3 linked regions of the Lonchura striata genome follow. The protein of the gene in region 1 binds, or shares a complex with, the protein of each later gene. Links are inferred from orthologs where the notes say so. Each region holds a gene or a part of one and is shown on either strand. Other genes may lie near its edges.

What was found.
Region 2: the proteins of AP3D1 (region 1) and AP3M1 are in contact, whole or in part, in a cryo-EM structure (PDB 9C5C), measured with the Homo sapiens proteins. The link is inferred for Lonchura striata from reciprocal best matches to the Homo sapiens genes AP3D1 and AP3M1. Residues at the interface, in NP_003929.4 of Homo sapiens: Lys29, Glu388, Gly389, Thr390, Thr391, Arg393, Glu429, Arg432; in NP_001307192.1 of Homo sapiens: Ser25, Ser27, Asp30, Tyr31, Glu34, Pro52, Asp104.
Region 3: the proteins of AP3D1 (region 1) and ARF1 are in contact, whole or in part, in a cryo-EM structure (PDB 9C5B), measured with the Homo sapiens proteins. The link is inferred for Lonchura striata from reciprocal best matches to the Homo sapiens genes AP3D1 and ARF1. Residues at the interface, in NP_003929.4 of Homo sapiens: Lys48, Asp50, Phe77, Ile80, Glu81, Ser84, Asp107, Met110, Leu111, Thr112, Thr113, Asn114, Gln115, Arg117, Lys118; in NP_001019397.1 of Homo sapiens: Tyr35, Ile46, Pro47, Thr48, Ile49, Gly50, Phe51, Asn52, Val53, Glu54, Trp66, Lys73, Ile74, Leu77, His80, Tyr81, Gln83, Asn84.

The regions. Positions count from the first base shown.
Region 1 is NC_134630.1:2,845,428-2,852,802, forward strand, and holds the start of AP3D1 (AP-3 complex subunit delta-1), read right to left. Parts: upstream 3,011-7,375; 5' UTR 2,800-3,010; coding exon 2,704-2,799; intron 1-2,703. UniProt on the Homo sapiens protein: Part of the AP-3 complex, an adaptor-related complex which is not clathrin-associated. The complex is associated with the Golgi region as well as more peripheral structures.
Region 2 is NC_134609.1:11,960,470-11,967,563, forward strand, and holds the start of AP3M1 (AP-3 complex subunit mu-1), read left to right. Parts: upstream 1-4,086; 5' UTR 4,087-4,111; intron 4,112-4,276; exon of another isoform or gene 4,277-4,369; intron 4,370-7,094. UniProt on the Homo sapiens protein: Part of the AP-3 complex, an adaptor-related complex which is not clathrin-associated. The complex is associated with the Golgi region as well as more peripheral structures.
Region 3 is NC_134603.1:154,872,854-154,880,532, reverse strand, and holds the start of ARF1 (ADP-ribosylation factor 1), read left to right. Parts: upstream 1-4,671; 5' UTR 4,672-4,804; intron 4,805-7,679. UniProt on the Homo sapiens protein: Small GTPase involved in protein trafficking between different compartments. Modulates vesicle budding and uncoating within the Golgi complex. In its GTP-bound form, triggers the recruitment of coatomer proteins to the Golgi membrane.

The DNA of each region.
Region 1 (7,375 bases):
TCACCTCCTCTAAGGAGCTGAGGAGCACCCAAAACTTATCAGTGAAGAGATGTGGCCTGCTCTGACTTCAGGACACACCTTGGCATGTGAGATTTAGGGTCACAGCAACATAGGAAGAACACAAACCCACCAAGCAAGAAGACAATGGGGCTGTCAAAGAACTGCACTGAAAAGCCCCACTGTGAACTGGGGTACCAGGCACTGGTACAGCCTCGATGGGCTGTGAAATACCAGATATGCTCATGTGGTATCTGCGTAAGAAGTGGAAAGGAATAAAACTTTCCGTCTCAGATCTACCAGGACAGACTGTCCAGAGAGATGAGGGAATAAGTGATGGCAGATTTTTCCATGTGATTAAATTCCAAAACACAAAACCCAAGACATGTAAATAAACTAACCTCCTGCAAAAAGCACAAGTAAATCAGAAGTCAAAACAACAATCTTGCCTTCATTTCTCTTCCTATCACTGATATTTAACAACCACAGTAGCTCTTTTCCAGAGACTGGAACTCTTCCTGGAGAAACTCCTGTTGAGCCAAGACCAATAGTCAATATCCTCCCCACTAAATCACACTGTTTGTTTTAAACAAATTTGCTGTTCTGAACAGGATAGTGTTTCTGTCTTAGGCATAGACACTTACCTTGAGACACACAAATGTTGGTTGAACTACAGCACTGGAGCAACATTAAACAGATACAATGACAATGGAAACACTGTAGGGAAAAGAGGAAGAATTTCTGCAGCTAGTTCCTCTAAAACAGCATTCAGATTTTGTAACATCACCTGAAAATTAGCCAATGTCCCTGGCCACTGCCTGGGAAGCACTGAATCCACACCCAAAAGCTCAACAGCAGATTTACAGCTCTCTCCAGCTGAGCCAGGAAAAGGCACAGTCCTTTCCTGGACTTGCAGCCACTCTCTGGAACTAAGAGAAATGATTTGAAGGATTCTCAAACACACAGGTTTTACCAGTGCAATGTCTTAATCAGCTGAACACATTCTAGTTTGGGTTTAATTTTTGCTGTGCTCGTGAGGATATGAAAAGGAATCATCCCTACAGTTACCTGTTTCAAAATCTCACCTTTAGTACTCCAAACTGAAGAGTTTAAAATCCCATCATGCTGCAGCCCAGCTGTTCTGACACAAGGTATTGCTCCGACCTCACTGAATCCCAGAGTGTGCACATACCCCAGTAACAGCTTCCCACACAGCCCTACAAAATTGTCCAAGGAGTGTTTTTTTCCTAACGCCAAAGGGCACAAAGGCCAATTCATTTTAACCATTTCTTATCACAGACTGAGAACAAGCTCGGTGTGCTTCTGAACTCTCTTTACGAAGCTGTTTGTCACAAAATTATTTTAGAAAAAGCATTCAATACTTCTCAAAGAACCAGTGCCACAAAGGCCTGGACCTTCACCAGAAGGATCCTCAGGGGTTTGACAGCTGATGAAACACTTTTTGTCCTATGCACAAAGGAATAAAGCAGATTTACTAAAAGCAGCACAACACATTGGAGGGGCTCCATAAGAATACTGCTCACCAGGTCCTGCTCTAGCACAACACACTAGGCTCATAAATTCCATACAAATAAGCTGTTGCTGCTTTGTGGTGTTTCACACATTTTTCAGGGCACTGCACAGCAGCCCTGCCTTCCTCTGCCATCAAACCAATACCATAAATTTAACATATACCAAAATAAATTGGATTCAATGATCCTGGTGGGTCCCTTCCAACACAGCATATTCTGTCACTCTGTGAAAAACAGAAATTTCCCAGGTATGCTCACTACCAAACAACCCCTTGTCCTGTGCACAAGGGGCTTACACAGATTTTGGAAGTTGTATTTTGTGTTTCAGCTCAATAGCACCAGCAAGAAGATCAGTTTTCCTAGTAAAGTTCTTCATTCAGTTAAAAGTTTACAACTTTTCCAGATGCTTTTGATAGCTGATATTGACTCTAGAGCCATCCCCCAACACACTAGCAAAGCCCAGCTGTTAGACCAATATTAAGAAAGCTCCTCAAGCTTCATGAGTTACTTGAAGATGAACACAAGTGACATTGGGGCCCGTTACTTCTCAATTACCATGTGACACTTTACTGTGGAGTCTCACATAACACGTTCTTGATGACTAATTACTTCACCTATACTAATTTCCTGATCACGTGCTTCTCACACAAGAGTGGATAACAGGCCGACACGGAGAAATGATTGCTGCCTAGAACAGCTCTGAGAGAAGGACATTTTAGTCAGGAGGTACTAAACATGAATGGTCTGAAAGCTGAATTAGGAGCTTCATCCTCCTGTATAACAGCTTCAGGGTGAAGAATACATAGCTGACTACAGCACGTGACTGTAGGGCTGGTGAGGAAGGAATCCCTCTCCATTATTCCTCTATAATAATCATGCATACATTTGCGTGTATATATGTGTGCATATGTCTACACATATATATATCTCCGTATGTATATCACGGATCTCAACACCACAACACAGTGAATGGAAAGGTGAGCACCAAGCATGGCCCTCCCTTACTAACTCTCCTGCTGTCCCCCAGCCTGTCCCTCCTGCCCCACACCCCAGCGTCACCTTCCTCGTTCTGACTCCCGCTTCCCCCTTCCCAAACCAACATTCCCTCGCAGACACAGCCCCAGCGGCCAGCAGCGACATCGCCGGGCCGGAGCACAGGGAAGGGTCCCCTCACCTCATCCTCCTTGTGGTTGCGGATGCCGCGCACCAGGTCCTGCAGGTTCTTGTCAAACATACGGTCGATGCTGCCCTTCACCATCTTCAGCGCCATGGCGGCGGCGGGGCCTGCGCCGGGCTGAGGGGCCGGGCCCGGGCGGGGGGGCCGCCGCGGTGCTGCTGCCGCTCGAGCCGGGTGAGAGCAGCGGTGCCGGGGCGCTCACATGCCGAGGGGAGCGGCAGGGCACGGGCGGAGCTGCCCTGGCGGACGGGCGGGCGCGGGCGACCCCGGCCGCGGGCGCAGCTCCAGGCGGCGCTGGGGATCCGGCACCGACAAAATGGCGGCCGGTCAGCTGAGGGCTCGGCCACGCCCCCGACATGGCCACGCCCGACCGGCGGCCACGCCCCCGGGCCAGCACCGTCCGCTGCGCCGCTCTCCAGCCCCGCCCACTCCGTCTGGCCACGCCCCTGCCGCCTCGCCGCTCTCCAGCCACGCCCCCAGCGCCTAGGACACGCCTCCAAGTGTCTGGACACGCCTCCGCACCGCGGCGCTGCCCCGCCGCCCGGCTCTCCGGACACGCCCCCTCCCTCTCTGGCCACTCACCGTCCGCCTCGCTGCCGCTCTCCAGCCCCGCCCACCGCGCTCAGGCCACGCCCCTCACGACGTGTTCGGTCACGCCCCGAGCCCGCCCCGCCCCTTCAGCAAAGCCACGCCCACTAACTTGTGTATGCTCCGCCCACTCTGCCCCTCAGGAGGACGCAGGGCCGGGGGCATCCAGCCCCTCTTATCCCATGGGATGGAAACAGCAAACAGCTGCAAACGCACGAGAGAAAACCGCAACCCTGGAAGAGCTTGGAGCAAACTGAGTATTTAATGAGCTGCTGGACCTGAACTCGGGGCGAAGAGGCCGGTGGGGTCCCAGGCTGTGTTAGGAAGAGCATCGGTGGTAGGACATGGCAGCTGGTCCTGCCCCTTCCTCAGCCCTGCTGGGGCGCAGCTGGAGTGCTGTGTCCAGCTCTGGGTTTCTCGGGATCAGTGAGATGTGGAGCTGCTGGAATAGGGGCTTTGGACATGATGAAGGAACTGGAGCATCTCTCATTCGAGGAACGGCTGGGGCCTGGGGCTGTTCAGCCTCCAGAGTAGCAGCCCTGAGCCCTGTGTGTCTGCAGGGAGGACTCAGAGCAGGGCCCAGCCTCTGCCCCGTGGGGCACAGCAGTGACACCAGAGGAACGGGCAGGAACTGATGCCCAGGAACTTCCACCTGGACGTGAGGCAGAACTTTGCTGTGCAGGTGATCAAGCACTGAACACACTGCCCAGGGAAAGCGTGGGGTCTGCCTCACTGGGGACATCCCAGAACCATCTGGACACAATCCTGCGCCCTGTGTGCTCTGGGATGGCCCTGCCGGAGCAGGAAGGTGGGAGCTGATGGCGCAGTGTTGTCGCTTACACTTGAATTATTCTGGGGTTCATCCCCTCCCCGCCCCGTGACAGCCGCGTCACTGCTGCCACTGGTGTCACTGTCCCAGCGCTGGCCACGCCCCGTCACGGGCCACGCCCCCGCCGCGCGCTCCCGCGGGTCCCACGTGGCAGCGCGGGCGCGCGCGGCGGGGACGCGCGTGGGGACGGGGGTCTCTCCGTGGGAATGGGGTCCCTCCGTGGGAATGGGGTCCCTCCGTGGGGACAGGGGTCCTTCCGTGGGAATGAGGTCCCTCCATGGGGACGGGGGTCGTTCCGTGGGAATGGGGGGTCTCTCCATGAGGACGGGGCTCCTTCCATGTGGATGGGGCTCCTTCCGTGGGAATGGGGTCCCTCCATGGGGATTGAGTCCCTCCGTGGGGATGAGGTCCCTCCGTGGGGACGGGGTCCCTCCATGGGGACGGGGTCCCTCCATGGGGACAGGGGTCCTTCCGTGGGAATGAGATCCCTCCATGGGGACGGGGTCCCTCCGTGGGGACAGGGGTCCTTCCGTGGGGATGGGGGTCCTTGTCCTTCCGTGGGAATGGGGGTCCTTCCGTGGGGATGAGGGTCCTTCCGTGAGGCTGGGGATCCTTCCCTGGGGATGGGGGTCCTTCCATGGGGACCGGGGGTCCTTTCGTGGGAACAGGGTCCCTCCATGGGGATGGGGCTCCCTCCATGTGGATGGGGGTCCTTCCAGGGGATGGGGGTCCTCCCGTGGGAATGGGGTCCCTTTGTGGGGATGAAGGTCCTCCCGTGGGAACGGGGTCCCTCTATGGGGATGGAGGTCCCTCTGTGGGGATGGGGGTCCCTTTGTGGGCCTGCAGGTCCTTTCTGAGGCTCAGAGTTCCTGCACAGGGTCGGGGGTCACTGCATGGGGCTGGAGAACTCTCCATAAGGATGGAGACGCCTCCATGGGTCTGCAGGTCCTTTCTGGGGCTGAGAGTCCCCACATGGGATCAGGGGTACCTTCACAGGGATGGGATCCCAGCATGGGGCTGCAGCTCCTTCCATGGGGTGGGGGTCCCGCAGAGTGGGGCTGGCAGAGCTGCACCTCTCCCCTCTGCCCGTGGGTGTCAGCAGTGGCTGCACAGCTGATAGAGCCAAATTTTGGGATCTATTTCATGTCTTTATTGGGAATGCAGCTCCACGGGCTGCCACACCTGAGCACCCACTAAACACCGTCACCCACTGCCCCAGGTGACCAGTGTCGGTGTGGGAAAGCTGTGACAGGTGACACGATGGGTGATGGCCAGGCAGACATGGAGCTTTGTGAGTGTCCCCACACGTGTGGGCACAGAGTGGGCAGTGGTTTGGTGTCCCTGTGACCACAGCTTGTCCTCTACCCACGTGCCCAACACCCCTGAACAAGCCCCCACCTGTGGGTGCCATGTCCCCACTGCAGGTGGGTGGGACAGGGAACGGGAGAGGGAAAACAAAATGCACAGGGGCTGCATTCCCACCCCATCTTCATCTTCAGAGCAGGATTCCAGCATCGGGGAAAGGAGGGAACTAAAGAGAAAGGAGCTTGCAAACAAAAAGGAGACACGACCTTGCCAAGATTCACCTGGGATTCTGAGCTGCTGCACAACAGGAGAAGGAAAAGGATTTCTCTTGCTCCCCGTGTTTTTCCTTTTGTTCTCTGCCTTCAGCCTGGGTTTTGCAGCCTGTTTGTGTTGGTCCCGGGGCAGAGAGAAGAGCTCAGCTCAGGGGTTGTGTTGATTTTATTCAGAAATAGCTGCACACATCAGCCCCTATGCAGGAGGGGTTTTCCCTTTTTAAAGGAAAAAGGAGGTTTCCCTTTTTAAGGGAAAAAGTCAAAGGGAAGAGTTCTGTTTGCTGGAGTCCTCATGGTCTGGAGAACATCCAGCTACCAGGATGAGCCCGTGGTTGGGAAGGGCTGGCTGTGCCCACCTGTGCTGTCACTGTCCCCTCTACTGCCCCCCTGCCTCTGACTGGGCTGCTCTGTGAGGGGATCCCCAAAAACCTTGTGAAAATCCCTTGTTTTGACCCAGCCCTTTGCAGTGGAGCTCAGCCACTGTCACACTGTCACTTTGTCACACTATCACGCTGTCACACTGTCACTTTGTCTCACTGTCACTCTGTCACACCCTCACACCACCAGGCAGGGAAGCCCAGGCTGGGAGATGCAGCACCCCGAGGGATGGGGAGCATCTCCTACAGATGGATTTGGACTCGAGACTTGATCCCTCCCGACTGAATTTCCAAGGATTTCTCTTCCTGAGATAGCCTGACATAGTTCAGCCATAAAAATTGTATTTGGGACACAACTGACTTTTTCACTCTTCTTCCTGTGATTGCTGACGGGTTTGGGATCCTCTTATGATCACCTTTAGTTAAGAGCATTGCTTTAAACCTAATTGCTGCCACCAGTGATACCTAAATCTTAAAATTCCCAGCTTTTGTCTTTCTTGGCTTTTGCAGGTCAGATATTTTTTAGGTTTTTTTTAATAAATTACGCCACCTCCTGTTTTCCCTGTTGCACATACATAGACAGCATTCCCAGGGAAGGAATCTTCCCTCTCCAGCCACTGACAGAGAGTATCCCTAAGGAATGCTGTGCCTTGGGAGAGCTCTGCTGAGTCCCACAAAGCACAATCCCAGCCATCACATCCCCGATGGAGCTGGGTCTGGGCTGCTTTTTGGTTCTCCCCTGTGGCAGTGCTTCCAAGAGGTTTCTCCGTATTGCTGGCACTCAAAGCACTCTGTGGGTTTCACATCCCAATGATGTTTAAAGAGGTTGTGCTTGGTTATGTTAATTGTGATTTTTATGTAAATCACAAGGAAAGACACGTGTAATTGAAGGGAAGAAACGAAATTGGGGCTGTTCAGCCTCCAAGGGTCCAGCCAGGGTTCCCATGACAGGATGTCAATTTTGGGGTGCTCGTTTTGGGATGTCCCATACCTGGGTACCCATATTGGGGTGCCTGTGTTGGAGTGTCCTTGCCAGGAATCCCACACCATGATGCCCTTTTTGGAGTGTCCTTTACAGGACACTCAGGGTGGCGTGACTGAGCCAGGGTGCCCTGTCTCCAGGTGACAATACTGGGGTACCCGTTTTGGGGTGCCCATATTGAAGCACCTCATGTTGCAGTCCCCATGCTGAGGTGTGTGACGGGATGCCCATTTTGAGATGCCCATTTTGGGGTGCCCCATGCCCAGGTGCCCATATTGGGGTACCTGTGCTGGAGTGTCTTTACTGGGATGGCTAT
Region 2 (7,094 bases), on another chromosome or scaffold:
GTTACACATCTGAACAATGGAAACCAGTGCCTGCACTGTAACAGCACAGGAGTTTCCATGCTGCAAGTCATTCCGGTTTTGGATGTATTTCTGTCAACACAGCTTGGAAGGGAAGGTAACTGCTGTTGCATCCTAAATAAAACAAAATTAGCAACGTCTGTGGCTAGTGTCCTCAAGAGTATTTGTCTGATTTCTAAAGAAGACTAAATATTCATCTGAAGAAAAAGTCTATTGCTCTAATTCTGGGAACAAACACAGAAAAGTGCTTGAGTTTCAGCTCCTTCTTTGACCTGAGGACATTATGTGTACCAACACGGAAAACACTACCTGTGTTTGCAGATATAAGAAATAGAAAAGTAAGAAAACTATAAGCCATGAAGACAAAAACTGAAATGAATACAAATGGGGAGTAAGGTGAAATTAAAAAACAAAAAGAAACGCCCCCCCCCCAAAAAAAATACAAACCCAAACCAAGAGATAAAAGAGAGAAAAACGTTATTTACTAAATTCTAACTGAAAGCTTAGCCACAGCTAACTTAAAATATTCAAAATCTTCTTTCATTTATAAAGAGCTGATGAAAGAATAAGCTAAATTAAAAGCCAGCTTATTAAGGAAATTTAAAATGTGTGAAATTAGCAATATTTTTTACAGCCACTAGTACCAAGCTTTCTAAAATCTAGTGGAACAGTAATGACAAAAGACTGCTTTTGATAACAATTATGCACAGAGTATTTGATAATTTATTCTTAAAATGAAGAGATCTCTAATAGTAGCAGAAGAGGAGGAATACTGTACTTTTTACTTTTAGCATGAACTATTTGCCAAACTCAGTGCTTACATTGCCTACTAGATAAACTGATTTGTTCAAACAACTAGCCACGTCATGACTATTCAATCAATACAGCAGCTGCAGAACAGCCAGAAGGTCATAATGCAGCACAGGGGACTTGACAAGTTTGTGTGCAGAAGGAAAAGATGAACATGCATATTTCTATACAGACACATACATTTAAGCTCAAACATTTCTACAGAAAACGTCCAAATTCTTTCATATCTGTACCAGACTGTTAAGAGAATCTGCCTGTGGTTTTCACAGACTTCCCTAACAAAACCACATATAAAAGAACACAAATCCTTAGTAATTTTCCTCTAAAGTAACACCTCATGATGTTTCTAGTAAGTTGGTGCTACCACTCCATGACAAGCCATTTGCAGTTTTGCAAGCCCATTTTCTGTTCAAACAGTGCAGTTCACAGAGCACAGATGCAGTCAGAAGCCCAAAACAAGGCAGCACACATTAATGGCCTTGCCTAAAGCCCATTGGTTTGTAGTGGGGATTTGCAGGAGTCAATAAAGACAATGCAAAACCTGCCGCCCAGCAGATGAATGTCAGCACAACACATTGTTGAGCTGGGAATGCCAGTTTGGGTCTCGGGCTTTGTATGCTGCTCACTGGGTGGCAAAAGCCAGCCATCCTATACTGCTTTCAAACAAGTGTAGCTTCCTGAACCCAGTCAGCTTTGCCTACCTCATGAGGGAGCGATATTTGCTTTCCTTTGCCTGAAAAGATCAAAGGGGTCTAAAAATGTAACCATGAAACCTCTATGAAGCCACTTTGAGAGAAAAAATTATGAAAAAAAAAAAGAGAAAAAACAGGGAAAGGAAACCTTTGCTATTGTTGATGAGGTATGGCTTGTATTGCATTGCAGAATTAATTTTTTTATACTAAAATAGTTTTCATGGTAGTCATGGGAAAGGTTGAGGTTGATATCATATGGGAGGATAAATACGGTACAACCAGCCTTGTTGAATCCATTAGACATGGTTTTCTGAAGAGACTGGAGAGCCCCAGATCTACATATTGAGAACAAGCAATCATTCTCTATAATCCCCTCAAATTCTTGGTATAACAAGTACGATGCTATTGACCTCCGAAATTATTAAGTGATTTTTCACTTCTTTTCTAATCTATAGAGGAACCGTTTCCAAACATATCTAGCAGTGCTTTGCATTACAACTGAATCTCGTTACAAATACAGCCAAGTCATGGAACCTCGACCAGTCTGGTACCTTCTCTAGTTGCTTTTACGTCCCACAACAGCACTCAGCCAAACATGTTCTTGCCACTACATTCATATGAGTGCTGAAGTCTGCTAAATCTAGTCCAACCACCAACTGCTTCATGAGTTCAACCTGTGGCAAACAGCACACATTAGCTTTATTTGATCACCAGTTAATTATGGCATTTCTCCTCTTATGAAACAGAACTGGAGCCTATTTATACTTTGGCTTGAAATAACTTGCAACAGAATTAACATATGCAAGTTCTAACAACATTCTTCCTGTTTTATCTATCATACCTTACAGAAGTAGTATTTGCAGTTTAGTCAGTCATTACCAGACATGGTATGTCACCATTGCCTTTCATTCCACTGCAAACAACCTTTAAATTTTTAACTCGGTACACCAATAATATTCTCAGATTTGAAATTTTTCTCATATTTCATCTTAAAATGCTTTTTCCTCTAATAAACTTTATAAACAAACATTGCAGCTTCCAGTTTCTTCCCTCATCTTGCTTTAAGGAGACATGGAGATAACTGTTGCTTTTTTACTATAACCTTACCTTGCTGCATGCCATTTATTTGCTTTCAGAGCTCAGTTACATCTTTCCTCTTCTATTATCTGCAACTGAGCTTGTCAACCATTACTAAACTTGAAAAGTCACTTAGCTGCCAAAGAAGCAAGTACCCTGACTTTGACAAATTTAATAGGATTAGCTCTTTTAATAAGGACATCAGTACCAAAAAAATTGTTCTCATCTCAGGACTAAAGTACATCCCCTTTATGCTATATTTGAGTGAGTTATTGGTTATCAGTTATCGCCAAGATAATTTTGGACCTTTCAAGGCTTATGTCATTAATTCTCTTCACACACTGAACACTTGGAAGGAAGTCAGCTATCTTCCAATTATATTAATATCTGAATAATCCTGAGAAAACAAACTTGAAACTGTACCAAAAAAAAAAAAAAAAACCACCAAAACTGCTCTACAGCTCTCAGTACTCAAAGTTCTCATTTTGACTGTGCATCCTCCATTGAGAAACCTTACATTTTTCTGCTATGACATTTAAAAATAAATTACTTATGTCTGTGCAGGCCATCATTCAAATGGGATTCAGCCAGTGCTATTGTACTGTGATCACAGAAATGAGGAAGTATAGCAAATCGCACAGATTATTTCAATATGAAGATATTTTAAATTATACGGTATGTCTTGAAGAAAATGTAACTGTTAACTCGGATTTTCAGTTTCCTATCTAACAGGGACAGAGACACCCTCGCGAGAGTATTAATCGGGGTATTTTATATTCAAAGGGGAGGCAGACGCAGTGACAATCCCAGCTGTGCTCTAGTACGGGGCCATCGTTGCGAGCAGCGTTCCGTTTTACCGCAACCCATCCAGACTCTCAGCAGCCCATTCGCACCGACCGACCCGACCCCAGGGCACAGCGCGACCCCCGCGCCGCCCACCCGCCCCTGCCTCGGCTGCGGGGAGCCCAGTGCGGCGGCGCCCCCGGGCACCCGCCGGGCCCGGGCAGCGGCACCGCAGCCGCCGGGGCAGCGCGGCGGGACGGCCCCGCCGCCGCCTGCACGTGCGCCCGGTGCCGCGGAGGGGCCGCCCGCGCCCCCGCGCGCAGCCCGGCGCGGCGGGACCCTGCCGCGGAGTGCGACCGCTCCGCGGAGGCGGCACGTGTCTCGCCCTCCGCCGGGAGTAGCACCAGCGACCTCCGGCACCCGCAGGGATTGCTGGCGAAGCAGAGCCCGTCCCGGCGCCCGTTACCTCAGCTGCTTCTGCTCCAGCTTCAGCTTCTTGGCTTGCGGCTCCCCCGCTGCCATCTTCGCGCTGGGCGGCGTGCGGCGCGCTCCGCTCCCCTCGGCCCGCCCGCCGGCCCCGGCCCGCCCCGCCGACCGCGCCGGCACCGCCACCGGGGGGCGGGGGCGCCGGGACGAACGTACGGCCGCGCCGGGCGCCTGACGGGGCGGGGAGCGGAGCCGGACCGCCCGCCGTCCCTGCCCAGCCGCGCGCTGCCGCGGCGCCGGCCCGGGTGGGTTTAGCGCCCGGGGGCCGCTCCCGTCTCCTGCCGGCCGAAGGGGCCGAGCGGTGCTGACCGGCGGCGAGGGGCGGCCGTGGCAGCGGGGCCGGCGGGCCCGGGGAGCGAGGGGGCCGTGCTCGGGCGCTCGGCGCAGGCAGCGCCCCGGCCGGCCGCGCCTCCGCCGGGGGGCGGCCCCGCGCCGCCGCCGGGCCTCGCCGCCATCTTGGCCGCTGTCCCGGGAGCGGGACGGGCCGTGCCGGGCCGGGGGAGGTACGTGGGGCGCGGGGGGCCCGGGCCGTGAGGGAGTGGGGCGGTTCTGTCCGTGCCCGGGGGGACGGGATCCCTGCCGGGCGGGAGCCGCCCGTGCCCGATCCCGGTCGCGCTGGTCGGCCGACGCCGGGCAGGGGCGACATCCCCGCCAGCGGCGGTACCGGGAGGCTGCCCTGCAAATCCGAGACTTCCCGTTTTGTTCGGTGCCCATTTAAATACAAAATCGTCGCCGTGTTCGAGTACCATCCCCCACGCCGTTGTTCTGGGCTGCGGCGGAGGTGCGGAACCGCCCGGCGGAGCGTGCAGAGGCGGTAGCGGCGGGGTGCAGCGCTCACGCTCCGCCGTGAGGCGCAGGGCCGTGAGGGGGACCGGGCAGCGCGGGGCCTGCAGCGGGGCGGTGCGGCAGCCGCAGCCACGCCGGGCCGGGAGGGGCAGGGCGGGCCGGGGAGCGGCGCCGGCTCACCTGGGTCGATCTTCAGCAGCCCTGCTGCAGCCGTGGTGTTTCTACTCCAGCTGTAACCGCTTAATTAGCGAGGGGCCCTGTGAGTGCGGATCTGCCTAATATGCGCTGGGAATAAACGCGTTATCATCCATCACTATGCGCTGCACATCGCTCCCGCCCTGTTCAGTACCCAGCGGCAACTGAGTAGAGGTTGTCGGTTCTTTTCTTTTGTTTCAGTTCAAATCTGCTGTGAATTAGTAATGCACTTACCGTCTTTTCAGTATGATGGATCGTTCGTACCCATTAAGTGTTAATCAAACTGGAGGAATAGCATCACTATTCAGTGTAGCTCTTCTATAACCAACCAGACAAAAAATCATACTTGAATGATGAAAATTTTTGTTCATAGCAGGCAGACTGCAGTATGGGAGAGGAAAAGGTACTTTACAAGAAAAGCAAAACCAACTTCAGTTACTCATGCATGAGGTAAAATGATGGAAACAATGTTTTACAAAAGAACTGACTGTGACAACCATGAGAATGATTTTGCTGTGGCAGTTCCCGGCGGGTTTGAATCATACATAGCTTCTCATTTATTTATTGAAGAGAAAAAAAAGAGAAGATGAAATATCTGAATGATATTGCTCTGTAAAACATCTGTCATATTGCATGCTAACTCAAAACAAGCAAACTTGGGGTTTTTTTTGGGGGAAAGAGGACAAATAGATTCCTTGCTGCCTGTATGCACATATCTGAAAATTCCTTGCAAATGGCAAATCAAACTTGATGAATAGCCTATGCCCTCTCATGTTTGATTTTGCTGGTTTTATTCAGAAATTAAATTTTCTGTTGTGCAAGATCAGCTAAATCCCAATTATTCTCTCATATAAAGATCTCCTTACATGAGGAATCTTTAATAAAAACCTTGTCATGAGGATTCAGAAAAGAGAAATTGAAGTCCTGGAGGTAGAGAAGTCTGAACAGTAGGAGATGAGTGGTGACTGTATTTTATGGCTGTAATAATGGCAATAAATTAAACAAATTATTTTTTTTAAGTGTTAAGTTCCTTCCTTTTATATCCATTTATTTTATCTCCAACTTACAGCTTCACATATAACTTCAAAAAATTAATACAACGAAGATAAGTTGAATCTTTTTTATGCTTATTTAACATAATGTATGAAAGGCAGCCTTTTAACAGGAACTTCTTAGAGTATTCATGAGATTCATTCATACAAGATAAAATAATTAGGGGGGCTGCTTTGCTCTGTCCTCTTGGAGGAGAAGGAAGTGTTTATGTGCCTTCTTTCTGCCTTGTGTTTGGACTGGCTGGGGCAGAGTGCACACACATTGGGAAGGGCTGTCATGCACAGCAGAGTTCCAGTGATGCTTGCTGGCTCTGATGGAGTGTTCCAGTAGTGCATGGCTCTCTGGCACTGTGCTTGTCCTTTCTGGAACCTTGAGTGCCTCTTGAAAGAGAGCCTGTGAAACACAGTAGTATAAAGCTAGGAGCACTGTTGTTCTGGCCTGTCAGACTTACTGGAGGAGTGAACTGGGTGAGCATGGTGGAAAACATCTTCACAAAGAGTTGCTGAGTTGGGGCTTTGATATCCTATGACTGAATCCTTCTGCCTTGTCCATTCAGAGTTCTTAATGGTTTGGCTGGAATATGAGCCTAATTATATTCCCGAAAATATTATGGACAGTAAATATGTGACATGAGACTCACTTTATCTCTGTCCATTTGGCCCTATCTGTCTATTCTACTGCTTTCAGAGAGTGAATTTCTTAAATCGTCCGTTAGTAGTCCTAAACCTACTGATTCAGATCTAAGTAGTGTTCAAAATGTTCCATTTCCATGTAAAAATGTAGTTTTAGCAAGGAATTTGTAATTGTTTTGGTGTGGGTTTTTTTTCTAAGAAACTCTAGCTTTTCCAGCAAAGCTTTCTATTCTTACAGGTCCCAAAGGGAACTGCAGCTATTCAGGATCTAATATTGTTCGATTATTCAGAATCTAATATTGTTCTGTTGATAAGAGATGGAACTCTCTTGCCAGCAGTTAGAAGATTTATACTGGAACTAAATTGAACAGAGGTGCCATGCAAGTGTGTTATTGGAAAGCTCATCAGACAGTAGATTAAATGCTGCACAAATTCTCATGCAGGCTGTAATTGCTACTGGTGAAAGCACAGAGGAAACTGCATATTTTGTTATGTCTACCAAACACTGATTTGAGTCAACTTTTGACTATTCTCAAAGGACTACTTCCTTTTAAAAACAATT
Region 3 (7,679 bases), on another chromosome or scaffold:
CTCCCGAGGTGCCAGCAGTCAGCAGTGCTGAGGTTGAACATCTTCACTGCCAGGTTCCCCTGCACGCCACCGAGTCATGACGTGCAGCTGCTTCCAAGAGAAGGAGGGGAAAAAATGAGGCCAAGAGAGGTGAGGCAATTTCCCAACATCCCTGGGAGTCGGTGTTGGGAGCACGGAGCTGATCTGCTCCCTCTGCTCTCCAGCCCTCCGCGCCACAGCCAAGGGGCTCTCAAAGGTGCTCCAGCTGAGTGGATCCTTCTGCCACCTAAATCAGCTCTGAGAGGAGAAACCACAGCAAAATAACAGCTCTGGATCTGAATACTCTTGATTTTTCTGCCTCTCCATGCAGCTGTGTAGAGTTTTTTTGCTTTTCTCCTCTTTCCACCTTCCTTTTCCGTCCAGGATGGTGAAACACGAGCAGCAACATTAGAACTGTCGTCTTTTCAACAGCCCAAGCCCATCTGGAGGTGACCCCAGGACCAGAAATCCCAGGAATCATGGCTATTTTTGGTAGGCAACATAGCAAATTGCTGGAGGGGCGGAGGGTGTTGTAATTTCTCAGCTCCTGTTCGTAATTGCAATTCTCACCTTCAGGTGAGAGACTCAGAGGTGAGAAATCCTCAACCTGACAGCAGCCAGGAGCTCCAGGGCAGCAGAAAACAGAGCGGTGATGGGTCCCAGTGTCCTTCAGCCCCTTCCACTCTTTTGGGGTGGGTGTCCACCCCAAAATTAATTTTCCATCACCACCAGGAGGGATTTAATGGTTGGACATCGCTGCCGCCTGCTCAAGGGTCTCCACCACCTCATTATACCAAATGTTCTCATCAAGAATCTTCTCAATAAAGACAACTTGCCCACACTTGGGAGAAAAGATTATTTTGGGGGGCCCTGAAGCAAGAGCAAACCCAGCCTGTGGTGTTTTTCCCTCGGGGAAGGTGCAGAAGGAAAAGCAGGGCTTGGGAAGCGCTTTGAGACTCCAGGTGATATTTTTATAACCTCAGAAATCGCCTTGCACAAACACCTTTTTTTTTTTTTTTTTTTTTTTTTTTTTTTTTTTTTAATCCAAAAGGGCAGTGAGAACAGGGTGTATTTCAGCTGCAGATTTGTCATCAGAGGCTCCCAGCAGGGAGGAAAAGTCTCCAGCTCCAAAGGGGCCATCCAGGAAAAGCCAGGGAGTTTTCTGGAACCCCGGGAGCACCCAGAAAATGAGCTGAGCTGCCCTGAGAGATCCCTTCCTGTTTTGTCCTTGTCCCACATGAGTTTTTCTTAGGATGGAAGGAAGCAAAGGGGCATTTCTGCTCCCTCAGCTGAAAAAGAAACGGAGGCTTCTTTCTTCTCTCCACGAATGCTGTGAGTCACAGGGCAAAGGGTTCCAGCTGCATCACAGCAATGAATCAGAGGGACGAGACCTCGAGCTCAGCGTCCCCTCAGGTCTCCAGAGGATGAGAATAACGAAATCAGATCTCCCTGGTGATGTGTCATGGGTGATAATAATGAAATAACCTCCTCTGATTCGCCCTGCAGCTGGATTTTCACCCTGGTGGGGTGGTGGGGTTGAGCATCTTCTCCCCTGAGGCAGCTAAAACGAGGAGCTGCTCTGGGTTAAAAATAAAGCCAAAGAAAAAAAAGGAAAAGAAAAGGAGAGGAGGGTTATTTTTAACTCAGAGCAGCCCTGATCTGGTTCACTGCCCGGGCATGGAGACAGAGCTGTGAAACAAGGGCTGCTTGGCTCAGCTGGGGCCAGGAGGGGATTTGGGGATGGGGAGAAATTCAGGTTTTTTCTGCTGAAAAAGCACCTTCCTGTTGTCACAGACACACAGAAACACCCAGCTCAGCTCCTGCCCCAGGGCTCACCCAAAATATCCAGCAAGGACAGAGGCAGATTCTCCCCAGAAGCCTTGAGCAAGTGCAAAGTCTCTTTATTCTCTTTAAATCTCACTTGGTATTTTTGGTTCAACTCAGACTCTTTCAAACCAGGTCCTGGAGGCTGCTGTGTCCCAAACAGGTCACAAAGGCAGGGGACAGGGACATCTGTGATCCCAGTGGGAGCTGTCCATGCCTGGGCAGCAATCTGTCCCCTGGAGCATCCTCCTCTCCCTGAAACCCCCCATGTCAGCCAGCCCAGCTTCCACAGTGCAGGAAAACAGGATTAATTTGAATTTTCAGCGTGTCCTTGCCATCACTTTCTTAGCCCATCAGTGCTGCTGCTGCTGAGTGACCGTCTGGGGAGATTTAATGCAATTTAGGGGCTTTCTTAAGCAAAATAATAATATGAATTTAAACCTGCTCTGCATGGGGGTGGTGCCTCCCTGGAAGAAGCACAGGGATGATCTTCCCTCCTGCCCAGACTCCCTCCTGGCACTTCTCAGCCCTGTTGCTGCCATTTCTTTTGCGTGTGACCCAATTATTTTAGGAAAAGAAGCTTTTGGGCTCACGCCCATCTGCCTGTCTGCCTTCTCTGTGTAATGCTGGGTGATTCCAACAGAGGATGGAGGACTTTGAGGTACTTATCTCCTATGAGCATCGAGGGGAAATCTAGAAATAAGCAGTTTTGGTGGCTTCCTGCTCTGTTTCAAAACTTCTCGTTAACAAAGGAAGTATTTAGTATTTAGCCTGGGACAGCACACGACCTCGATTTATCTCAAAGTTAACCCAAAACAGAAAGGAGATAAGCCTGAATTTTTTTGTGCACAGTTGTTTCTACACCCACCTCTTGAGCTTTGGGACCATGTGCATTATTCTATTTCCACGTGGAGTTAAGATCCTGCTGTGCTGACCTGTTCCCTCTGTGCTGTGTAATAAACGAATTAATACTAGTTTAAATTAGGAAAATTATTTGCTGAGGTAAAAAAAATTTAAAGGAATTTTCCCTCTGTGGGGGAAACTGAGGTACAGAGAAGCTGGAGCTCAGAGAGGATCGTGGGCTGCTTTGGGAATGGGGAATGGTGCAGGAAAAAGGGAATGGTGCAGGGGAAAGGGAATGGTGCAGGGAAAAGGGAATAGTGCAGGGAAAGGGGAAATGGTGCAGGGAAAAGGGAATGGTGAAGGGAAAGGGGAATGATGCAGGGAAAAGGGAATGGTGCAGGGAAGAGGGAATGGTGAAGGGAAAGGGGAATGGTGCAGGGAAAAGGGGGAATGGTGCAGGGAAAAGGGGGAATGGTGCAGGGAAAAGGGAATGGTGCAGGGAAAGGGGGAATGGTGAAGGGAAAGGGGAAATGGTGCAGGGAAAAGGGGAATGGTGCAGGAAAAAGGGAAATGGTACAGGGAAAAGGGAATGGTGCAGGGAAAAGGGAATGATGTAGGGAAAGGGGGAATGGTGTAGGGAAAGGGGGAATGGTGCAAGAAAATGGGAAATGGTACAGGAAAAAGGGAACGGTGCAGAGAAAGGGGGAATGGTACAGGGAAAAGGGAATGGTGCAGGGAAAGGGGGAATAGTGCAGGGAAAGGGGGAATAGTGCAGGGAAAAGGGGTCCAGGAAAGAGGGGGAATGGTGCAGGGAAAAGGGAATGGTGCAGGGAAAAGGGGGAATGGTGCAGGGAAAAAGGCAATGGTGCAGGAAAAAGGGAATGGTGCAGGGAAAGGGGAATGGTGCAGGGAAAAGGGGAATGGTGCAGGGAAAAGGGGAATGGTGCAGGGAAAAGGGAATGGTGCAGGAAAATGGGGAATGGTGCAGGGAAAGGGGGAATGGTGCAGGGAAATGGAAATGATGTAGGGAAAGGGGGAATGGTGCAGGGAAAAGGGGTCCAGGAAAAAGGGGGAATGGTTCAGGGAAAATGGGGAATGGTGCAGGGAAAGGGGGAATGGTGCAGGAAAAAGGAAATGGTGAAGAGAAAGGGGGAATGATTAGAAGTGCAGGGAACAGGTAAGGAATGGTAAAGGGAAGCGGGAACAGAGCAGGGAAAGGGGGAACTATGAAGGGAAGGGGGAACAGTGCAGGGAAGAGGGAAGGAATGGTGTAGAGAAGGTGAAGGAACGCTGCAGGGAAAGGGGAACGGGGAACGGGAAAAGAACCGTGAAGGGAAGCGGGAACGGCGCGGGAGGAGAACGGCGCACGGAAAGGGGAGGGCACAGTGCAGGGAAAGGGGAGCTGAGCGGGAAGGGCAGGCTCGGTCCCCACGAGCCCCGTCCCACCCTGTTATCATCCCGTTATCCCGTCATCCCGTTATCCCATCACCCCGTTACCTCGTTATCCCGTTATCCCATCACCCCGTTATCCCGTTATCCCATCACCCCGTTATCCCATCACCCCGTTATCCCGTTATCCCATCACCCCGTTATCCCGTTATCCCGTTATCCCATCACCCCGTTATCCCATCACCCCGTTATCCCGGTATCCCGTTATCCCATCACCCCGTTATCCCGTTATCCCGTTATCCCATCACCCCGTTATCCCGTTATCCCATCCCATTCCCGGGGGATCCCGGCCCCGCGCTGCGGAGTGGGCGTGGCCAACCCAGGCCCCGCCCCCTCCTGATACCGTCACTCCCACCATGACCACGCCCACTCCCAGGCCACGCCCCCATCCCCACAGAGCCTCGCTCCCGCCGTGGCCACGCCCATTGCGCCTCTACGCCACGCCCCCTCGCGCCGGCCCTGCGGCGCCCCGCCGTGGCCACGCCCCCCCGGCGCAGGCCACGCCCCCCGCTCGCGCCCGGCCTGCCCGTGGCGCCGCGCGCGGGGCGGGCACTGACGTGGCCGCAGCGCGCCGCCATCTTGTGCTCCAGGGCGGATCGCGGCCAGCGGGCTCCGAGCGGGACCCTCCGAGCGCTGCCAGACCCACGGCCCGCGCCTCCCGACCGCGCCGGTGCGTTTGCCGACACCTTCTTCTTCCCTCCTTTCCAGCCTTTTCGTTTCCTTCCCCCCCCCGCCCCCTCTCCGGCTCGCCGCGCCGCGCCCCCGCCCCGCATCCCGCGGCCTTGGCGCTGAGGCAGCGGGGCCGGGCGGTGCTTTCCTGCTCGTTCCTTCCCATTGCTTTTAATTCCTTCTCTCACGCCACCTTATCCCTACTCATTCCTTTTCTCCCACAGACCCAGAGCTCCCCGGGAGCGGCGCTGCTCCACCCGTCCGCCCTTTCCACGTCTTTGTGGGGGGGTCGGGCCTTTGGCTTCCCCGCTCGTGGGTGGGATGGGGAGGGAGAGGCAGGGCTGGCCGAGGGGAATCGCCGCAGCTCGGCAGCAGCTGCACAAGGCCCCGCTCCGCTCCCTCTAGCGATGGCATTAGACGGGATGGGTTTGTCCTCCCTTCCCCAAACTCGCTCATTCCGGCCTCTGCCCCGCCCGCGGACGGCTCCGAGCAAGGAGAGGCATTTCCTCCTCCTCCTCCTCCTCTCCCCCCCAAAACCCTCGTGGGGTGCGGGAATGAGGTTGGGATGGAGCTCGCAGGGCAGAGGTTGTTTCTCCCTAAGCCCTTGGCTGCTGAGTTGGTGTTTTTTCTTGCTGGGCAGAGCTTTATCGTGGAGCAAACAATTCTTTTTTGCCGCCTATCGCCTTGGGTTTGGTGGTGTGGGAGATCAGCTTTCCTTGGCGGAGCAGCTCCCGGTGGGAGGATATTATATTCTGTCTGAAAATACTCCGTGGTGCGAGGCGAACGTGATACTTCGGGGCTGATAAAGCTCGGTGTGATGAAGTGATAGCCCGGCTCTGCCCCAGCACAGCGAGACCGAGACTCTGCCGGGCCATAAAACTGCCCCAAATGTTGTCGTGTTTGACATTGACCTTGTTTGTGGCTTTGCTGCTCTGCTCCTGCCAAAGCAAATTCCACAGGTTGATTAGAGTCGCGACTAGAGGTCTGGTGTTGAAATTGTAGCTTTGTCAATAACTAAAATTCCAAGTATTTATGTAATACTTTGAGCTTTGTCTTGCGAGGCTCGCAGCACCCCTTTGCAGGGTATTCCATTGACCTTATTTTCCAGGCAGAGAAACCGAGGCAAAGTGGATTTTTCCAAGGTCATTCAGCAGTCTTTATTGCTATTTTTGCTGCTGATTTGGAGCGCTTCTAGGGGGGAAAAAAAAGGGAAGTGTGGCTGAAGTGGAGGATTGCTATTTTGCTTTTATTCATGGGGTTTGTAATGGAATTAAATAGGAGCACAGCCTTATGGATAAAGGAGTTCTCCGAAAGGAAAGTTTTTGGGGGTGGTTTGATGCCACTGATTTTTCTCTGCTACAAACATATCCGCAGTGCTGGAGGCCCTGTTGGGCTGCTCTCCCTGTTGGAATAATTGCATTGGGTGAAAGGGTGAGGAAACTCACCTCGATTGAACCTCTGCAGCTCCAACCCCGCAGCTTTGCCAAGTTTGTTGGTGCTTCCTGTGATGGAGCATCAGGAATTGAAATGGCTCAAGCAGAGCCGCCCTCCCCTCAGAACGGCTTTGTGTTTGTCATGTAAATCCTGTTTAAAGTCGAACCCCTCGGTGTAAATGGTCCGAGGAGCTCGGATGGGTCTCTCGGAGCATTTCCTCGGTTGTGAAATAGCTGGAATGTGGAAGGGCCTGGCAGGAGCTGTGCACCGAGTTCCCTGTGAGTGTTAGTCATGCTGACCAAGTGGGGGGAGGACCAGGCGCAGCTTTTCGAGGCAAACCAAGCGTGTGTGGGAGTCGGGGCTGGATTCTGCTCCTGGGAATTCACCAAACTCTGCTGTGCTCCGGCTGCTTCGAGCAGGAACGTTTCTACAGATAATTATCAGCTAAGCAAGCCTTTGGTGACATGAATTGGTGCAAGGAGGAAAAGCTCAAAACCCAGGATTCCAGCTGAAATGGCAGTGGTGATGTTTAAAGAACCACCTTTACACATCCCAGAGGGTTTTATTTCTAAAACAACCTCTTATTTTTAAAGATGGGCTTTCAAGCAAGAATTCTTAGGGATTTCAACAGCCTTCGCAAACATCCAGCTTGCTTTACAGTGGATAAATTTGGTGAATATGAGCTAACTTTATCTGAAAAGGAATAGTTCTGATTCTGTTTTTAGAAATCTCTTGGAAGTTCTGCTCCTGGAATGCTACAGGGCTTGTGTTAGAGCCGACGCTGTCCTCAGCCATTCCCTTTCTTTAGCTGATGAGTAAAGAAGTTCAGAATCAGCTTCCTACTACAGCAGCTGTTTTTTCTGTGTAATTCAGCATTTTTTTCTTTCTGCTTGCGAGTATCCGATTTTATTCCTTATTTTTAACGCATGCAGACGTCGGAGGGGCTGTGGTGGAGCTTCTGCTGATGTTTCAGTTCTGATAAAACCCTCGTGTCTCACACAGCTCTTATTCGCCCACTGCTCCTCTATCTCACAACTCAGGGGTTCTGCCTTGACATTTCCCCTAAACCAAATGCCAGTTTCATTGCTGGATGGTGTTCTCGTGTGAGTTCTTGCCATTTCTACTAGAAGTGTAAATGTTGACTTAGTGCCCAGTTCCCAGGAATGAATAACAGGATATTTGGCTTAAAATTGAAGATTTTGAGCTCAGGAACAATTCAGCCTCAAAAACAAAAAACACCCCAAATGTACACCGCTTATCTGAAGATAAATTCTTTGTAGCCCTCAGTTCTCACACCACTGTACCCAGTGCTGAACTGGTGAGCAGAAAGCCACAGGCCATTCTTGGGGTTCACAACTGCATTATTTGCACCACAATATTTCCTGAGCAGGGAGGGCATGGATGCAGCTCCCTCTGTGCTTTTCACCTGTCAGCCTGTCCTT